Linked DNA regions of Nothobranchius furzeri. The protein of the gene in region 1 binds, or shares a complex with, the protein of each later gene. Links are inferred from orthologs where the notes say so. Each region holds a gene or a part of one and is shown in the gene's direction. Other genes may lie near its edges.

Region 1 (3,562 bases):
TGTGGGTTTCGATCCTGAAGCCGAGGCGCAGTTCTCCGTGCTGGTTTCAGAACGAGGAGGCAAGGTACTGCCGGCCCGCACTCGAGCGGTGGCGGACTACGCCGTGGTTCCGCTGCTGGGCCGCTCGGTGGAGGCCACGGTGGACGAGGTCGTCACGGATACATGGCTGGTAGCAAAGGAACAAAAACTTTTATTTCTTTTGAGACTTTGGCATTTTTTATATTAAAGTTTTCCTGTTGTTGATTTCAGGCCATGTGTGTGGAGAAGGAGTGTGTTCTACGTCTGTCCGCCAACCCTTTGTTTGTCCCCGTCCCTGTGAGGGAGGGACATTTTCCTCTAAAGGACTGCGTCCTCTCCGTCAGCCAGTTTACTGGAGCAGAGAGGGAGTCCCTGGTGGAGCTCGCCAAGTACCTCGGAGCAAAGTACGACCACTACCTGCTCGTTGTTTTCTGAGTTTAACCTGATGCATCATAGATCTGAAATGGGACATTTGCCTCATTGCTTCATAAACGAATCACTGATGACCCCCCCCCCCCCCCCCCCCCCCCCCCCGCTGTAGTGTGCAGGATTATTTTGTGCGCCTGGCCAACCAGAAGAAAGGGATGCTGGCCAGCACTCACCTGGTGTTGCAGACTCCTGAAGGCACAAAGTACCAGGCAGCAAAGAAGTGGGGGCTCCCTGCTGTCACCATGCACTGGATTCTGGAATCCGCTCGTACGGGCAAGAGGGCGGCGGAGGAGAAGTACCTGGTTGACCTACCTCCTTCTCCAGGTTTTTCTCTTATTTATTTATTTTTTTGGTTCGTTTGAGAACAAAACCTGTCTTTGCTTTCCCAACACCTCAAATGTCCCTCGTTTGTAGAGAGAGATGAAGAGAGCTTTGTGGGCGGCTCCCAGAAACCCATCCTGCCTCCGCCGCGTCCACGTTCCCCTGAAATCCCTCTGCTGGGTCCGCAGGGCGGGAAAGCCGTCACCCCGCTAGACCTGGGCCGCTTCCAAAGCAAAGTGTTTCGCTCCGTGCTGGATGAGATGAAACCCGAACAAAACCAGGAGGACAGTAGAAGGAGGCGGCCTCAGAAGGAGCCTCCTCTGCAGCTGGACACGCCATCTCGGTTCCTGAGCAGAGATCAGCTCTTCAGACCGTCGTTTAACGTCGCGGTCAGACAGCAGCAGACATCCACACCGAACATTCCAAACTACAACATGTCATAGGCTGGGTTTTATTTTTGTAGGATGCACTGGGAGCTTTGGAAACGCCTGGTGGGCGATCAAAGCCAGGAGAGAAGGTGGAGACGCCGCTGACTGATGTCATCAACCGGAATCTGAAGGTGGCTCTGGCCAACAGCTCACGTGGGAACATGTCAGACCTCCAGGCCGTCACCGCCAGCCCACAGCTGGCCAAGACGACAGAGAAGGAGGTAAATATGTCCTAAACCTGCTTTTGGTTCTGCTCTTGAAAAGGTTGGAGTTTCTCTTTCAGCACCTGTAACTAATATAAATGTGATTCATCATCATTTTATCCCAAAGGCTCCAGAAGCAGCAGCCAGACCTCTGACTGGTGTTGTGATCTGTGTGGCGAAGAAGCTCAGCAAAATGCAGAGCGAACTAAACGCTGTTGCTGCCTCGCTGGGAGCTGACTTCAGGTGCTCGGCCTTCTGGGAGTTTTTAGTTACTAACCTGATGGATGTTTCTGTTTTAAACAATATAAACAAATGGGGCTACACTGGGACTATTACTGGGATAACCAGATCGTTCAAAAACACCTTTGTTTTTCAGATGGGCTTGTGATGACACGGTGACCCACTACATCTACCAGGGTCGAGTGGGGGACAGCTCCAGGGAGTACAGAGGGGTGAAGGAGAGAGGGCTGCATGTGGTATCTCAGTACTGGCTGCACGCTGTGAGTCTCAAAAATGTTTAAAGTCGGCTTTATTCAGTAAAGTTTTGTAAAAGTCTAATTTCTGTGTACAGATTTTTGATTTTGACACAAATAAAACACTCGTGTGTGTGCGTGTGTGTGCGTGTTTGCGTGCGTTCAGTGTGCCGAGGAGCAGAAGCACGTCTCAGAGTCTCTGTATCCGTTCACCTACAACCCCAAGATGAGCCTAAACCTGAGCCAGGTGCCCAGCAGCTCCCAGAAGTCTCCGCCTTTCCCACGAACACGGCTCCGAGACAAACTTGACAAGGTAGCATTGGTCTAGTGTTGCAACTGATGTTTTCCATCTCATGTCTGACGGTTCTGTTTGTCCCGTCAGTCTGAGCTCCCCGCTGCAGGAGCAACCTCAGCTGTGAGTAACGGAGGCGACGATCACGATGAGAAGAGAGGTGACGTGTGTCCGTCTTCTAGCTGCTTCTGCGTTTATGACGAACCACGAGGTAACAGAGGCCGTTTCACGTTTCAGACATGCTGGAAATGGGGGAGACCCTGCAACGACAGCTGCAGGAGATCATGTCCGCCACCAAGATAACGACGGGCAGACGCACGTCTGTGAGACTGGCTAGAATGGGATCAGGAGGTGCTGATTCTGGTCCGAACACACCCGACGTGAGCCGAGCCAGCCGCGGCGGGAGCAGACGGACCCTGGAAGCTCTCAGGTGGCTTTCTGTTGAAGCTAATTAAGATATTTCTATGTGAAACTTTAGTGTTTACATATTTTCCCCCCAGAGTTTCCAGAGAAGCAGCCCTGGACATCAACACGGAGCCGTCTCAGAGCGAGCAGATCGTCTGGGATGACCCAACGGCCCGGGAGGAGCGGGCGAAGCTGGCGGATAACTTCCAGTGGCCTGGAAGTCCGTCGCAACACTCCGAACCTCTCACGGCTGCTGCTGCACCTGCACCCCCTCCCTCCGCAGAGACCAGATCACAGTTGAAGGACTCCATGACGGACTCGGAGCTGGTGGAGATCGGTAAGATCCGTGAGACATACACAGAACTAAAGAACTGAGTGTTTCATTAGTTTTCCAGCTTATTGAAGCTTCATGTAATGTTTGATACGAAGCAACGTTTTCACGTTTTACCGGTTTCTAAAAGCTGAGGTCTTGTTTACAGTAATGCAGCTTAAAGATGCATCTCACTGTTCTCACACAGCTGCTTGTGAGGTTATTAACCAGCAGCTGGGTCAGAAGGTCATGACCCCTCCACCAGAGGAACCAGAGGAAGACATCCTCACTCCTAGAGCTCCTAGCATCGCCTTTCCCCTCACTAAACCAGCAGGAGCTCCGGAGCATCAGGACGAGACAAGAGAAGAAAAGCAGCCTCCCAGATTCCAGCTGTCCTCCCTCAGTCCTCAGGAGCGCATCGATTACAGCCAGCTGATAGAGGAGCTGGGTGAGTCCCTCAGAGCTCCAACCTGGTCACAGAAACCAAAAGCAGGAGATGGAATATGATTTTTATTTTAGCTTGGTCTAGTTCGTGTCTCCTGACCAGGTCCAGTGTGTCTTAGTCTCTCTGTTCTTTGTCCTACTTTAGGTGGTGTTGTCCTGGACAAGCAGTCCTTCGACCCCAGCTGCTCCCACATCATCGTAGGGACTCCGCTGCGCAACGAGAAGTATCTTGCAGCGAT
Region 2 (4,234 bases), on another chromosome or scaffold:
GTGTGATTGAGAAATTGCATAATCTAGAGTATGAATTTTAAAGTGTGTTTTCATTTGTTTTTCCAGACTTGCTACACTTTCAGAGTAGTTTACTAGTAGTGAAGGTGAGATACTGTGCTGTCCGATACTAACGTGTCTAACAAGCTGTAGCTTGATGGTCATGATTCTGAAGGTGGCTGTGTCCCTGTGAGTGTTACCAAAATGTGATTTAAAAGATAAATATTATTTTTGTATTTTAGAATGGGAGTGTACAAATTGTAAAATTTTATTCTTGTTGCTATTAATTAGAAGTTTTTTTTAATCCCTGTTTTATATGGGGCTCCCAGTGCTTGTATATACAGTATCTCTACAAGCAAGAGCCATTACTTTTAATTTATATAGAGGAAAAGTCCTTTATATATACACGTGATTTCTGTTTTAATCTGGATTATTCGTAACAAAATTACACCAGCTGTGCAGATTTAAAATATTATAAATTAAAACAACAAATTTGGGAGACCCGAAATACATGACTGTGATCCAATGAAAAAGGTTTTCTTATGCAGAAAATGTGAGATAAAACATGCTGATGATTTCCCTCTCTGTACATTGTAACTAATTCAACTGTTGATTTTATATGTTTTGTAACTAATCAAAATAAATGATTTAATCATCAAAATGCATGGCATTTTTTTTTTCAAAAGCAAGTCAGTAGTAGCTCTTCAGATTTTGATTTAAATATGAAAAGGATACATGATCTCTTTATTGCAGTTTCTGTTTACAAATCAGCATGCACCATGTCATACAAAGTTTTTGTAATGTAGGCCTGCTGAAAACAAAATATCTTCAAAGACCATTTGTTTATCACAGATTTCAGAAATTTGAATTTTTAGCTGATGGCAATATTTCATAAATTAACAAGTACATTTTAATTAACCCTTTGATGCATAATGGTCACTACAGTGGACAGGTACTCAAAATTGTTATTTATTTGTTTTGCTATAAAGCACAGCTGTTGAAGACTATTGCATTTGAGCCCCTCCATTTAGACTTCAGCAAGTCAAGCCAACATCATGTTCAGAATGCATGCTGTCCACTAAGGTGGACACGTAATAAATTATTTGTAAATTATTAAATGTTTCAAAAACATTTGTTGAAATTTGTTTCATTCACACCTAAAGATTAATGAAAAAGACTGTTAAAAAACATGGTTGAAGGTTTCATAATTCATAATGCATCAAAGGGTTAAGAGGAAGTCGGGGAAAAACAAAAGTATAAAATGCGTTTTCTGATGTTTGAATAGTTACAAATTCTATACATATAATTATAATTAGTTCATTATATTGAATTTATTTAAAAAACGTGATATCAAAGTATATATTTATGTTGAAAGTGCTGAAAGTACGTGTTTCTGTAGCCGCATGAAAGCTTTTTTTAACTCATTTTGACTATCCGCAACTTTATTGTTCATCCAATTGCAGACAACAACAACGAAACAACGGTTTGACGCTATCCTCTTTGAAATGGCGCTGAGGTAGTTAAAGGCGCACTTTCTGCGTGTTACTTTCCTCTTTTAGCTCTCTTCAGGTTTTAGTTTTTGTGCCAGTGCTATTGTCTAAACACGACCTTCGTTTTTGAGCATCATTCAGTTCATAAACAAAAATGTGTTGAAGTAAATTGCTAAAAATTGACGTCGCATAATAAGGCCGCGGTAGCCCCCGAGCTTGCGTAGAGATTACAGCCGCTTTTCAGTGTTTGGCCTAGACGCAGAGCAGCAGCGGTTTGGTGAGTGGCAATCGGCTAGGGTTGAGTTACCCATCTTAGCTTAGCTAGAATTACCTCACAGTATTAGCTTCATAAAATACGTCTTTCAAATATACTATTTAAAGCTAACTGTTCAAGTTTGCATCTGGACAATTGTTATTGGATAGCTATCTGCGCGGCTAATGCTAGCTTGCGCTCAAAGTGTAGCCGAGCACGGTGTGTTTACAAACAGCAAGCTAACCTTACAACTTGCGACGTTGTAGCATTATAAGCAGAAGCGAATTAGCTTCAGACATATTCTGCAAATACCACGATAACAGAAATCTTACTATGTAATTAGTTAATTTATGCAAAAGCTTTACCATTGATGGCGCTTTATTCTAAGCTACAAACAGCCAACAAGTTTCGTGCTCAGCTGAGAGCTAGATTACTGAATCTGAAAGTTTTAACCCACTTACGTCTCAAAGTGGTGTATGTGTGTTTTTACTGTAATCATGAGTGATGACCACCTCCTAATATTGTTCTCTTGTGTTTGTGTTTTAATAGTCATTCAAGTGAATCCAGTATATAATATTATCAGGAGTTCACCAACAGCAATTTTACATCTGCATTAACATTTGTACACACACCTAAAGTCAACATGGCATCAGTCCCACTGTACTGCTTGTGTCGCCTTCCCTATGATGTGACACGCTTCATGATCGAATGTGACAATTGTCAGGACTGGTTTCATGGAAGGTAATATGTTGTTTTTATTTATTTTGTAGACTAAAATTTACTGGCATGTTTTTCAGTTATGTATTCGTAATTTGATTTCCATAGGTAAAATAGGTTTTGAACTTACTGGACATGATTGATTTAATCTGCCCTGTATTATTTGTACAGTTGTGTCGGAGTAGAGGAGAACAAAGCAGTTGAGATTGACTTGTATCACTGCCCCAACTGTCAGGTCACCCATGGGCCATCAGTTAGTAAGTCCTTTTATTTGGTTAAAAAGAGACTTAAAAATATTGTCACTTCCAGGCATTTGTATTTCTACAACTTGGCTATCAATTTGTCACAGGATTTATACGTGCTAAGCACACATTTTTGAACTTGTTATGCTGCTGTTACTTTCGTCTTTAACTGTGCACATGTTAATTGTTTTCTCAGTGCGCAAACGACGTGGAGCCAATAAGCAGACAGATGGAAGCACTAGTGTAGGAAGAGATCCAAGTCGACCTGTTAAGACGGGGAGTCCACAGTTTGTTAGGGAGCTTCGAAGTCGTACCTTCCCAAGGTAAGAACCATGTCTGGCAACAAATGAATAAGTAAAAAATATCACTATAATGTCAGTGTGGTGTGCTAGTTCTAGTAAACATCACACTCCATTTTAACATTTGAAATGGAGTAAAAACATAAAATACACTTTCTGTTATTGCCATTGCATTAGATTTCACTGATGTTGCTTTTATAACTATTACCGTGTTTTTTATTTTTTTATGGATAAGCTTTATTGTCACATTTCTAAATATGTCATGTTTTCTTGTGTCTGTGTCATGATCGCAGCGCGGATGAAATCTTGCTCAAGCCATCTGGGGCGCAGCTGACAGTCGAGTTTCTGGAAGAACATTCATTCAGCGTTCCTGTTATGGTGCTGAGGCGGGATGGCTTAGGCATGACCCTTCCTCCGTCATCATTCAGTGTCAGTGACATAGAGCACTGCATTGGTACGGTTTCAGTCTGTTAAACCCATGATTTGGATACATTGAGTTTTATCATGTTATCTTGTTTTATCAGCTTCATACACAAAGTAGTGCACAAACGTTTTGAGCCAACTCTTAATCCTTGTACTTTAAACTAGCCACACAGCTTTTTGGAATTTTGGAAGAGTTCTTGAGCAAATTTTAGATTTTGCATGTTGCCCTCACTCATCTCCCGGGTTTCCTCCTGATACCCTGGAAACATGCACGTCTGGTGATTGACTGCATTGTAAAATGAATCATATGTAAATTAAGGCATCTACCAAATACATTAATAAACACAGCTAGGTAACAAAGAGCGTTTCGAAAAGTTTTAAGACCACTTTCAAAGACTGCACAAAAGTTTGTCTTTTTTGAATTTATTACAATGAAATAAAGCATGGCCCAAGAAATTTTTCTTAAATGAATGAGAATGCAAGTTTTTTTTTTTTTTTTTTTTTTAACTTTCTGGAGTTCAATATGACTAACAAAATTACTCTGTTAAAAATATCAATGGCAGGTACAGATAAAGAGATCGACGTCATCGATGTGTCTCGACAATGTGATCTAAAGATGCGTCTGGGAGACTTTGTTGAGTACTACAACAGCCCTAACAGGGAGAAAGTGCTTAATGTCATCAGCTTGGAGTTTTCTGACACCAGGTATAGAAATCTAAACAGAGGAGTATCTCCTAGTCTTGGCAGTGTATTCATGGATGTGATCTGTTGGACTTGTCTCAGGCTCTCAAACTTGGTGGAGACTCCCAAGAT
Region 3 (3,889 bases), on another chromosome or scaffold:
ATCTATCATCGACCTGTGACCTAGGCTGCCCTGGTACCAAGTGTACCGGTGGGCATCCTTATGTTCGAACATGGTGTTCGTTATGGCCAAACTGCGGCTTGCACAGAAGTCCAATAACAAAACACCGCTCGAGTTCAGATTAGGTGGGCCGTTCCTCCCAATCACACCCCTCCAGGTCAAGCTGTCATTGCCCACGTGAGCATTGAAGTCCCCCAGCAGGACAATGGAGTCCCCTGATGGAGCACTATCTAGCACTCGTCCCAGGGACTCCAAAAAGGGTGGGTACTCTGAACTGATATTTGGCCCATAAGCACAAACAACAGTCAGGACCCGTTCTCCGACCCGAAGGCGCAAGGAAGCTACCCTCTTGTCCCCCGGGGTAAACCCCAACACACAGGCAGAGAGTCTCTGGGCTAACAAAAAGCCAACCCCAGCCCTCCGCCTCTCACCCGGAGCAACTCCAGCAAAGTAGAGTGTCCAACCCCTCTCCAGGTCTCGGGTCCCAGAGCCAATGCAATGTGTCGAGGTGAGTTCGACTATATCTAGCCGGTACCACTCAACCTCTGCCACAAGCTCCGGCTCCTTCCCCGCCAGCGAGGTGACGTTCCATGTCCCAAAAACTAGTTTTCTTGTCCGGGGATTGGACCGCCAAGGCTCCCGCCTTGGTCTGCCACCCGATTCGCATTGCACCGGACCCTTCATGTTCCTCCTGCGGGTGGTGGGTCCACAGTTGGACGAGCCCATGTATCCGGTTCGGGCTGGGCCCGGCCGGGCCCCATGGGCGAAAGCCCGGCCACCAGGCGCTCGCTCACGGGCCCCAACCCCAGGCCTGGCTCCAGGGTGGGACCCCGGTAACCCTCCGGGCCGGGTACTCCGACTCTTCGTTTTAACCGCCATGAAAGATCCTTCGAACCGTTCTTTGTCTCACCCTTCACCTAAGACCAATTTGTCATGGGAGACCCTACCAGGGGCACTAAGTGCCCCAGACAACATAGCTCCTAGGATCATTAGGGCACTCAAACTCCTCCACCACGATAAGGTGACGGTTCAAGGAGGAGAAAATCTAACTAATTACTGTAGCTTACAATTAAATGTGTTAATGAAAGATTAAATGCTTTGTGGAGTGAAATAACAGGAATTTCTCGGCCAAACCCATCTTATTTCATAGACACATCTTTGGCGTTTATAACAAATTAAGCCTTTTGAAAATCGGTTGAAAATTGAGCAAGTTAGAGTTGCTTGAGAAAGGGGGGCAGCGGTCTGAGGTAAGATGGCCGCCACGTTCCTACGTCGCATCCCATTGACGAACAGTGGGGACGAGGCATCTAGTGTTTATACATACATATCTATGCCGGAGCCGATCTGGTACCGACAACGGATCTACGTCACCGGGTCACGTGATCAACAAAGCTTTTCCCGCCAACACCGTTCGGTCTTCACGGAGGAGAAACGGATAAGTTTTCTGATCGAGAGTTCGGGATGTTCTGCGAGAAGGCCATGGAGATGATCCGGGAGCTGCACCGGATGAGCGACGGACAGCTGCCCGCTTTCAACGTGAGGAACGCGGGTAACGGTCGCAGCAGCTGACTCCGTGTACAGCCAAGCTGGTTTAAGGTTGTTCAGATGTTGCCAACAGAAGCAGAAGTCTTAAGAACCAGTAGACCAAAGGATAGCTTAAACGGAACACCGGCTACAGTTCGGCTCTGATTTAACCCGGTAGCATGCTGTTCTACTGTTCCTTAAACCAGAACCCACATGCTGGCTCTGTTTCAGGAGGACGGGCTGCGCCAGGTTCTACAGGAGATGGAGGCTCTGTACGAACAGAACCAAGCTGACGTGTGAGTTCAGGCTGCTTCTGGTTCTAGGGTTCGGTGGACCGACATCTGAACGCTACTAAACTGTAAAAGATCAAAAAGATGCGGCTTCAACCACAGAGTTCGGGTTCTGGTTTTGTTTATCTACAGAAACCCTCCTCATATACTGAGGCCTCTCCTGTTTGACCTGACCTCTGACCCCACATCACCTGTAGAGAAAAGGTCAAACTGGTTCAAGAGCCTTTTCATGCATGAAGGATGAGGGGTCCAGAGGTCAGATACTGGTTCTGGACTGGCCTGAGTCCAGATGACCCGTATGTGACCTTACAGTAAGTCAGCTGATCTTCTGTTTCAGGAACGAGGCCAAGTCCTTCGGGCGCTCAGACCTCATCCCCTCCATCAAACTGCGTCACTGCTGCCTGCTGAGGAACCAGCGCTGCATCACTGCCTACCTGTAACTCCGCCCACAGTCATGTGACCAGCCTCACCTGCAGTCACTACGGTTTTTTTTACCGTTTGTTGTTTACAGGTACGACCGCCTGCTGAGGATCAGAGCGCTGAGATGGGAGTACGGCAGCGTTCTACCCGCCAACGTTCGCTTCCACATGTCTGCAGAGGAGGTCGGTGTGACATCACCTCCTGTTTTAGACTTCCTGTTGCTGCTTCACATAGAAAGCAAACTTTTCAATTCCTTGAAACTTTTATTTTGAAAGTGTCAGTGTTGTATTAGAACAGCTCAGTGTGTGTGTGTGTGTTGCTTTCAGGTGCAGTGGTTTGGTCAGTATAAAAAGTCTCTTGCTTCCTTCATGCGTTCCCTTGGTGAGGGGGAGGGGCTTGACATCACACAGGACATCAAGCCTCCAAAGAGTCTCTACATCCAGGTGAGTCACACCTGCCTGACCTCTGACCTACGGTCTGTCCTCATCATGCTGATGTCATGTTTGTTTCCAGGTGAGGTGTCTTAAGGACCATGGAGAGTTTGAGATCGAGGATGGAACGGTGATCTTGCTGAAGAAGAACAGCCAGGTCAGAATAGGATGCAGTTTGGATGAACACTCACTCACACACACACACACACACACGATTGGGCCGACAGCATGACATCAGAACCAGACCGTCCTCACAGCCTCAACAGGAAGCTCAGGATCAGGTGTATTGATTACCTGATCACCAGCAGCAGGAGCTCTCTGGAGCATACAGGTGTGTGTTGACATGTAGAGGAAGCAGCTGTGGATCTGGGATGGACCCACACTCACATTATTCCCAGGAGATGAATCCTGTGGCCCGTGTGTGTGTGTGCGTGTGTGCATGTGACGTGAAGCCTTAGAACGCAGCAGCTCACAGGAAGTTGTGTTTGTGTTCTCAGCACTTCCTGCCTCGGTGGAAATGTGAGCAGCTGATTCGCCAGGGCGTCTTGGAGCACGTGGTGTCGTGACGAGAGAAGATTGTGTGTGTGTGTGTGTGTGTGTGTGTGTGTGTGTGTGTGTGTGTGTGTGGTCACAACAAATAAAAGTGTTGTACCCATTCTGTGGCCTCTGTTGTGTCTCTGTGGTCCTGGAAGTGAAGAAACTCACGTGTCAGGTGCCATAGAAAGATGACAAGCAGCTGATAAAAACATAATGAGTCACACTTTGGTCCACAGGTGAGCTTTGGTGTGTTGCACCTGAACAGGTGAGAAATAGAGCAGCAAACACACTGATGCTGCCTGCTGTAACGTCCAGAAATGGTCAGTTTTCACCTACATATTGACCGACACAATGTCCGGTCACCTACAGACCTAATTCCACTATCTGAGTGGAGTTTCTATCCTGCCTTCTAAAGCCCAGAAGATTCTGAAGCCCTTGTTGACATTCAGGGGGAACAAGATGCCAGCCTATGTTCCCAAACAAAGCCTTCTTTTGATAAGACCACAGGATTGCTCACTCTCATGAAATAACTTTTACAACTCGTAAGTTAAAAAATAATATGGTTGAATGAACAAATGTTATATGTATAATAATGTTGATGTTTGAATAATCGGTGCCTAATTCAATGACACATTTGTCATTTTAATATGACACATTTTGATGTCATGA
Region 4 (3,562 bases), on another chromosome or scaffold:
TCACTGCTCTGTAGTGACTTTATGCCTTTCAAAGACTAGTCGCTGTCACGTGATAATGACAGACAAGATGCAGTCCTCGGAAAAGACAGCAGGTGACCAGCCCCTGCGTGTTGGGAGGCGACGCGCTGTGCCACCGCGTCGTATCTGACTCCCGCGGAAAAACAGACATTTGACCAAATTGTGACCTTTACCCTCTTGCAATTTAACCTTCCCCTCACCCCCATCCTAACCTTAACCAGCTTGTGCATGCAAAGCTCTGATCGTTGACACGCTTCAGACATCTGCATCCTGAGCACGGCCACAGTAACATTATCAAATTAGGTGTCGCCACCTCAAAAACTAATTTAACACGCGATCGTTCATGTTGGCTCATTTCCTTTTATGTTTGAAGCAGGGGAACAGTAAAGATGCAGAAACTACCATTGTGTTTAACGTTGCAAATGTGGGGGCAATTTTAATTGTCAAAAACTCCAGCGAACCAACCCACTTCAGGTGTATGACGTCATCAACGACTAGTCAAAGTCGACTCGATTTTAATTACTTGACTTAAAAAAGTTAAGTCATGCAGCCCGTACTCCACATTCAGTGTTACTGCAAAATTAAGTTTGTTTCCAAATGAAAAGGTTCAACCGTTCATATCTGTAGTAAAGGCAAATGTGCACATTTGCAGTCACTTTTGAAAAAATATTGAGTTTGGCCCGCAACTTCGTCCCAGTTTTTCATTTTGGCCCAGAGCAAATTTGAGTTCGACACCCCTGCCTTAAGCTGGGTTTATGCTTGACACATTCACTTTCCGCTTGGTGATGCGGCTCGCGGCTGGAACGCGCTTCACAACTCTCAGCATTTATGGTTCATGCGGCTTGTCTCTGTGGTGAGCCAATATTCTCCCAAGCTGTAGGGGGCAGCATGGAGCTCTATGGCATGCATCCAACACTACACCATAGTAGAAGTAAAAATTACTGTTTACAACATGGCATTCCAGCAATTTTAACAGCGTCCTCGTCTTTTCCAACAGTGCGAGCTATTTCTCTCCAAGAATTATTAACATGTTGATCATGGCGATCTCTGAGAGCTGAATCATACAAATGTCTGTATTTACAAACCTCTGCCATACTAGTTCTTGCCAGTCCGCGATGTTTTTCCGCGTCCGACCGTCCGCGTGGTTAGAAAATTTCCTAGGTGCGCGGTGCGGAAATTTTGGGCCGTGCGGAGGTGCGGTGGAGGGGTGTGGTTGTTAAAATGACGCAATTTAGCCGCGCGGACCTCACGGACGCGTCAAGCATAAACCAATCTTTAGTATACCTCCCTGGTTGGAAGGTAGGCCCTTTGACATAATCTGGGACTTTCAGGGAGGACGTAGAGCACTCACTGCTGACGTAGCTCAGACCTTAGTGGAAACACAACAAACCAGGAGGAAAAGTAATGTTGTGCTTTTTGGCCACGTATTTGAAATGTGTCTTTATTGGGAAGTAAGCTCAGATAAATGTCTAAAATGATCCTACAGGTGTGTATAGCTGAACCCCACCCAGTAAGCCAGACCCACACCACCACTCTAGCGCTGTACGTGATGAGATGTTGAGAACATCCAGTGAACCTGTTCTGTGTGTGTGTCCAGATGTCTGAGCCCTGCTCCCACTGCCCTTGTGCCTCAGCCAAAGATGGTGTGAAGGACAAAGATGGCAAAAAGAAGATTCCAAAGATTTTCTTTGGCACACGCACCCATAAACAGATTACTCAGATTGCACATGAGCTGAAGCGCACAGCGTACTCCAGCGTACAGATGACCATCTTGTCCAGCAGAAAGCACACCTGTGTTCATTCAGATGTGGTACCTCACTTCAACCGCAACGAGCTGTGCAAGGAGCTGCTGGAGGACAAAGAGGTGAGGAACGGACACACACACACACACACACACACACACACACACACACACACAAAACATCATGTGAAAAACAACAAAGATTCATCAGGAAGTGTGGGACATGCAGTTACTGACACACCTAACACTGAGGAGAGTCACATAATGAACACATAGCCTCAGAGAAGCAATTATACACAATTGGTTGACAGAACTTTTTTGACACTCTAGAATATCAAGGACCATTTTTGGAGATGTGATACACTTGTAACCTCCTATAATGTCCTGAAGTTCGGGCGCCTACTGTAATATAGACAATTATGTTGTCATTAGAGGTGTTAGCCTCCCATAGCAATCATCTCACTTTTGTCATGAAAAGCTGCCCTCGAAATAACCCCCCCCCCCCCCCCCCCCCCACACACACACACATAAGCAGGTGTCACTGACACCCTGAGTGTGTGTGTGTGTGTGTGTGTGTGTGTGTGACCTAAGGGTCTGGTTCAGTCATTGTCAGGTTATGCTGCAGTACTGACTCTGATGCACAGAGAAACTGCTCCTAACACAACAGCTTCCTGGACACTTTGGTCAGAGTTGTTCTGAGGGTAGCTGGAGGCCTTAACACCCCCCCACCCTCCCACACACACACCCCTACCCTCAAAACAGCTGTGTGACTCTGCCACCAGGGCTTGGTGTCTATGAAAGGTCCATGCTTAGCACAGCTCGAAGAGAAGAGGACCATATTATCCACAGATGATTGCTTTGTCTGTAGCCGGGTCCACCTATGTGAAGTGTTTTTGTGACAGTGTCACCTTAAGCTGTTAAAGTCACAAAGAACAGGGTGGGACATCTAAGAGGACACGTCTACTTGTAGTAGTCAGGACTAGCTGCAGGATAGGCTACATGCACCGTATCAATGTCTGAACGTGTAAGCTGTACACGGAAAAATACATAAAATACTTTAAAATAAAAACTCAGTTATTTTTGTTTTAATGTTAATAGTTAATAATTAATATGCTGTATTGTTGTATGGTCATAAAGCCAGCCTGATAAAACTGGGCTTCCAGATGTTTCCAATGCTCAAGTGTGATGAGCAGATGATCAGCTGTAGAAGATGAGTCGTAGCTCTGCTTTTGACTTTGCCACATTGACCAGGGTCATAGTAATAAAATGTTTAAACTTACAGATATGTGTAAAAAGTGTTTTTGATGGTTCCATGCAGTAGAAGGTCATTGTGAGTTCTGTTTATAGTTTCTGAGTGGGAGAAGTTCACTCTGAGTCCAGAATGTCTGCAACTAAAATATTTGTAGCATTATTAGATGACAAGAGGCCCAAACACTGGGAATATTTAATATTTGGGTCAACTTCTTGTAATTGTCAGTAAAAAACCTTTGAAACCTCGAGTGGTTCTACTCCAGTAACCATAGAAACATCTGGCGGAAAATTAAACAAACTTTGAAACCAGAGTTTCTTAACCTTTGACCACCTTTGTAGACCCACACATTTTATTAAGATATAAACCAGTTTTGGCAAATTGGTTTAACATCACCACTTCTCTGAATGAAGCTGTTAAATGTGTGCCTTACAGGGGCGCTCGTGTCGCTACTACCATGGAGTCAAAAAGATGGGAACTCAGCATTTACTGCAGTCAGTCCATGGACTGTGTGGAGCATGGGACGTGGAGGACCTGGTGTCTCTAGGCCGACG

The links.
Region 2: the proteins of topbp1 (region 1) and phf8 are in contact, whole or in part, in a crystal structure (PDB 7CMZ), measured with the Homo sapiens proteins. The link is inferred for Nothobranchius furzeri from reciprocal best matches to the Homo sapiens genes TOPBP1 and PHF8. Residues at the interface, in NP_008958.2 of Homo sapiens: Gln1298, Cys1299, Arg1314, Asn1315, Glu1316, Leu1319, Arg1369, Ser1406, Arg1407, Gly1410, Phe1411, Arg1413, Leu1414, Arg1465, Thr1466, Glu1467, Ala1470, Asp1471, Gln1475, Asn1483, Tyr1484; in NP_001171825.1 of Homo sapiens: Gly842, Ala843, Cys844, Phe845, Asp847, Ala848, Tyr850, Ile851, Tyr852, Pro853, Ser854, Leu855, Glu856.
Region 3: the proteins of topbp1 (region 1) and gins1 are in contact, whole or in part, in a cryo-EM structure (PDB 8OK2), measured with the Homo sapiens proteins. The link is inferred for Nothobranchius furzeri from reciprocal best matches to the Homo sapiens genes TOPBP1 and GINS1. Residues at the interface, in NP_008958.2 of Homo sapiens: Leu490, Leu491, Ser492, Gln493, Tyr494, Glu495, Asn496, Leu586, Ser587, Arg588, Thr589, Val590, Val596, Cys601, Glu602, Val603, Ala605, Thr606, Val607, Gly608, Val610, Lys629, Pro636, Val637, Pro638, Val639, Met640, Thr641, Arg726; in NP_066545.3 of Homo sapiens: Asn43, Gln44, Val47, Asn48, Lys51, His66, Arg91, Tyr94, Gly95, Ser96, Asn100, Arg103, Phe104, Arg119, Ala122, Met125, Glu132, Gly133, Leu134, Asp135, Thr137, Gln138, Asp139.
Region 4: the proteins of topbp1 (region 1) and brip1 are in contact, whole or in part, in a crystal structure (PDB 3AL3), measured with the Homo sapiens proteins. The link is inferred for Nothobranchius furzeri from reciprocal best matches to the Homo sapiens genes TOPBP1 and BRIP1. Residues at the interface, in NP_008958.2 of Homo sapiens: Leu1272, Ser1273, Ser1274, Leu1275, Asn1276, Pro1277, Arg1280, Gln1298, His1311, Leu1313, Arg1314, Asn1315, Glu1316, Lys1317, Leu1319, Gln1366, Arg1407, Gly1410, Phe1411, Leu1414, Thr1466, Glu1467, Ile1469, Ala1470; in NP_114432.2 of Homo sapiens: Ser1129, Tyr1131, Phe1132, Thr1133, Pro1134, Glu1135, Leu1136, Tyr1137, Asp1138.

What each region holds. Positions count from the first base shown.
Region 1 is NC_091747.1:45,081,264-45,084,825, forward strand, and holds part of topbp1 (DNA topoisomerase 2-binding protein 1), read left to right. Parts: coding exon 1-169; intron 170-249; coding exon 250-422; intron 423-559; coding exon 560-771; intron 772-861; coding exon 862-1,157; intron 1,158-1,231; coding exon 1,232-1,417; intron 1,418-1,526; coding exon 1,527-1,642; intron 1,643-1,775; coding exon 1,776-1,899; intron 1,900-2,038; coding exon 2,039-2,185; intron 2,186-2,254; coding exon 2,255-2,324; intron 2,325-2,401; coding exon 2,402-2,594; intron 2,595-2,664; coding exon 2,665-2,906; intron 2,907-3,087; coding exon 3,088-3,327; intron 3,328-3,468; coding exon 3,469-3,562. UniProt on the Homo sapiens protein: Scaffold protein that acts as a key protein-protein adapter in DNA replication and DNA repair. Composed of multiple BRCT domains, which specifically recognize and bind phosphorylated proteins, bringing proteins together into functional combinations.
Region 2 is NC_091755.1:27,007,685-27,011,918, reverse strand, and holds the start of phf8 (histone lysine demethylase PHF8), read left to right. Parts: upstream 1-1,434; 5' UTR 1,435-1,513; intron 1,514-1,568; exon of another isoform or gene 1,569-1,764; intron 1,765-2,289; 5' UTR 2,290-2,383; coding exon 2,384-2,481; intron 2,482-2,628; coding exon 2,629-2,714; intron 2,715-2,895; coding exon 2,896-3,022; intron 3,023-3,291; coding exon 3,292-3,452; intron 3,453-3,984; coding exon 3,985-4,126; intron 4,127-4,204; coding exon 4,205-4,234. UniProt on the Homo sapiens protein: Histone lysine demethylase with selectivity for the di- and monomethyl states that plays a key role cell cycle progression, rDNA transcription and brain development.
Region 3 is NC_091752.1:47,394,601-47,398,489, forward strand, and holds gins1 (DNA replication complex GINS protein PSF1), read left to right. Parts: upstream 1-1,370; 5' UTR 1,371-1,479; coding exon 1,480-1,554; exon of another isoform or gene 1,555-1,567; intron 1,568-1,773; coding exon 1,774-1,838; intron 1,839-2,169; coding exon 2,170-2,268; intron 2,269-2,343; coding exon 2,344-2,434; intron 2,435-2,578; coding exon 2,579-2,695; intron 2,696-2,765; coding exon 2,766-2,840; intron 2,841-3,180; coding exon 3,181-3,249; 3' UTR 3,250-3,339; downstream 3,340-3,889. UniProt on the Homo sapiens protein: Required for correct functioning of the GINS complex, a complex that plays an essential role in the initiation of DNA replication, and progression of DNA replication forks.
Region 4 is NC_091753.1:22,952,000-22,955,561, forward strand, and holds part of brip1 (Fanconi anemia group J protein), read left to right. Parts: intron 1-1,615; coding exon 1,616-1,882; intron 1,883-3,443; coding exon 3,444-3,562. UniProt on the Homo sapiens protein: DNA-dependent ATPase and 5'-3' DNA helicase required for the maintenance of chromosomal stability. Acts late in the Fanconi anemia pathway, after FANCD2 ubiquitination.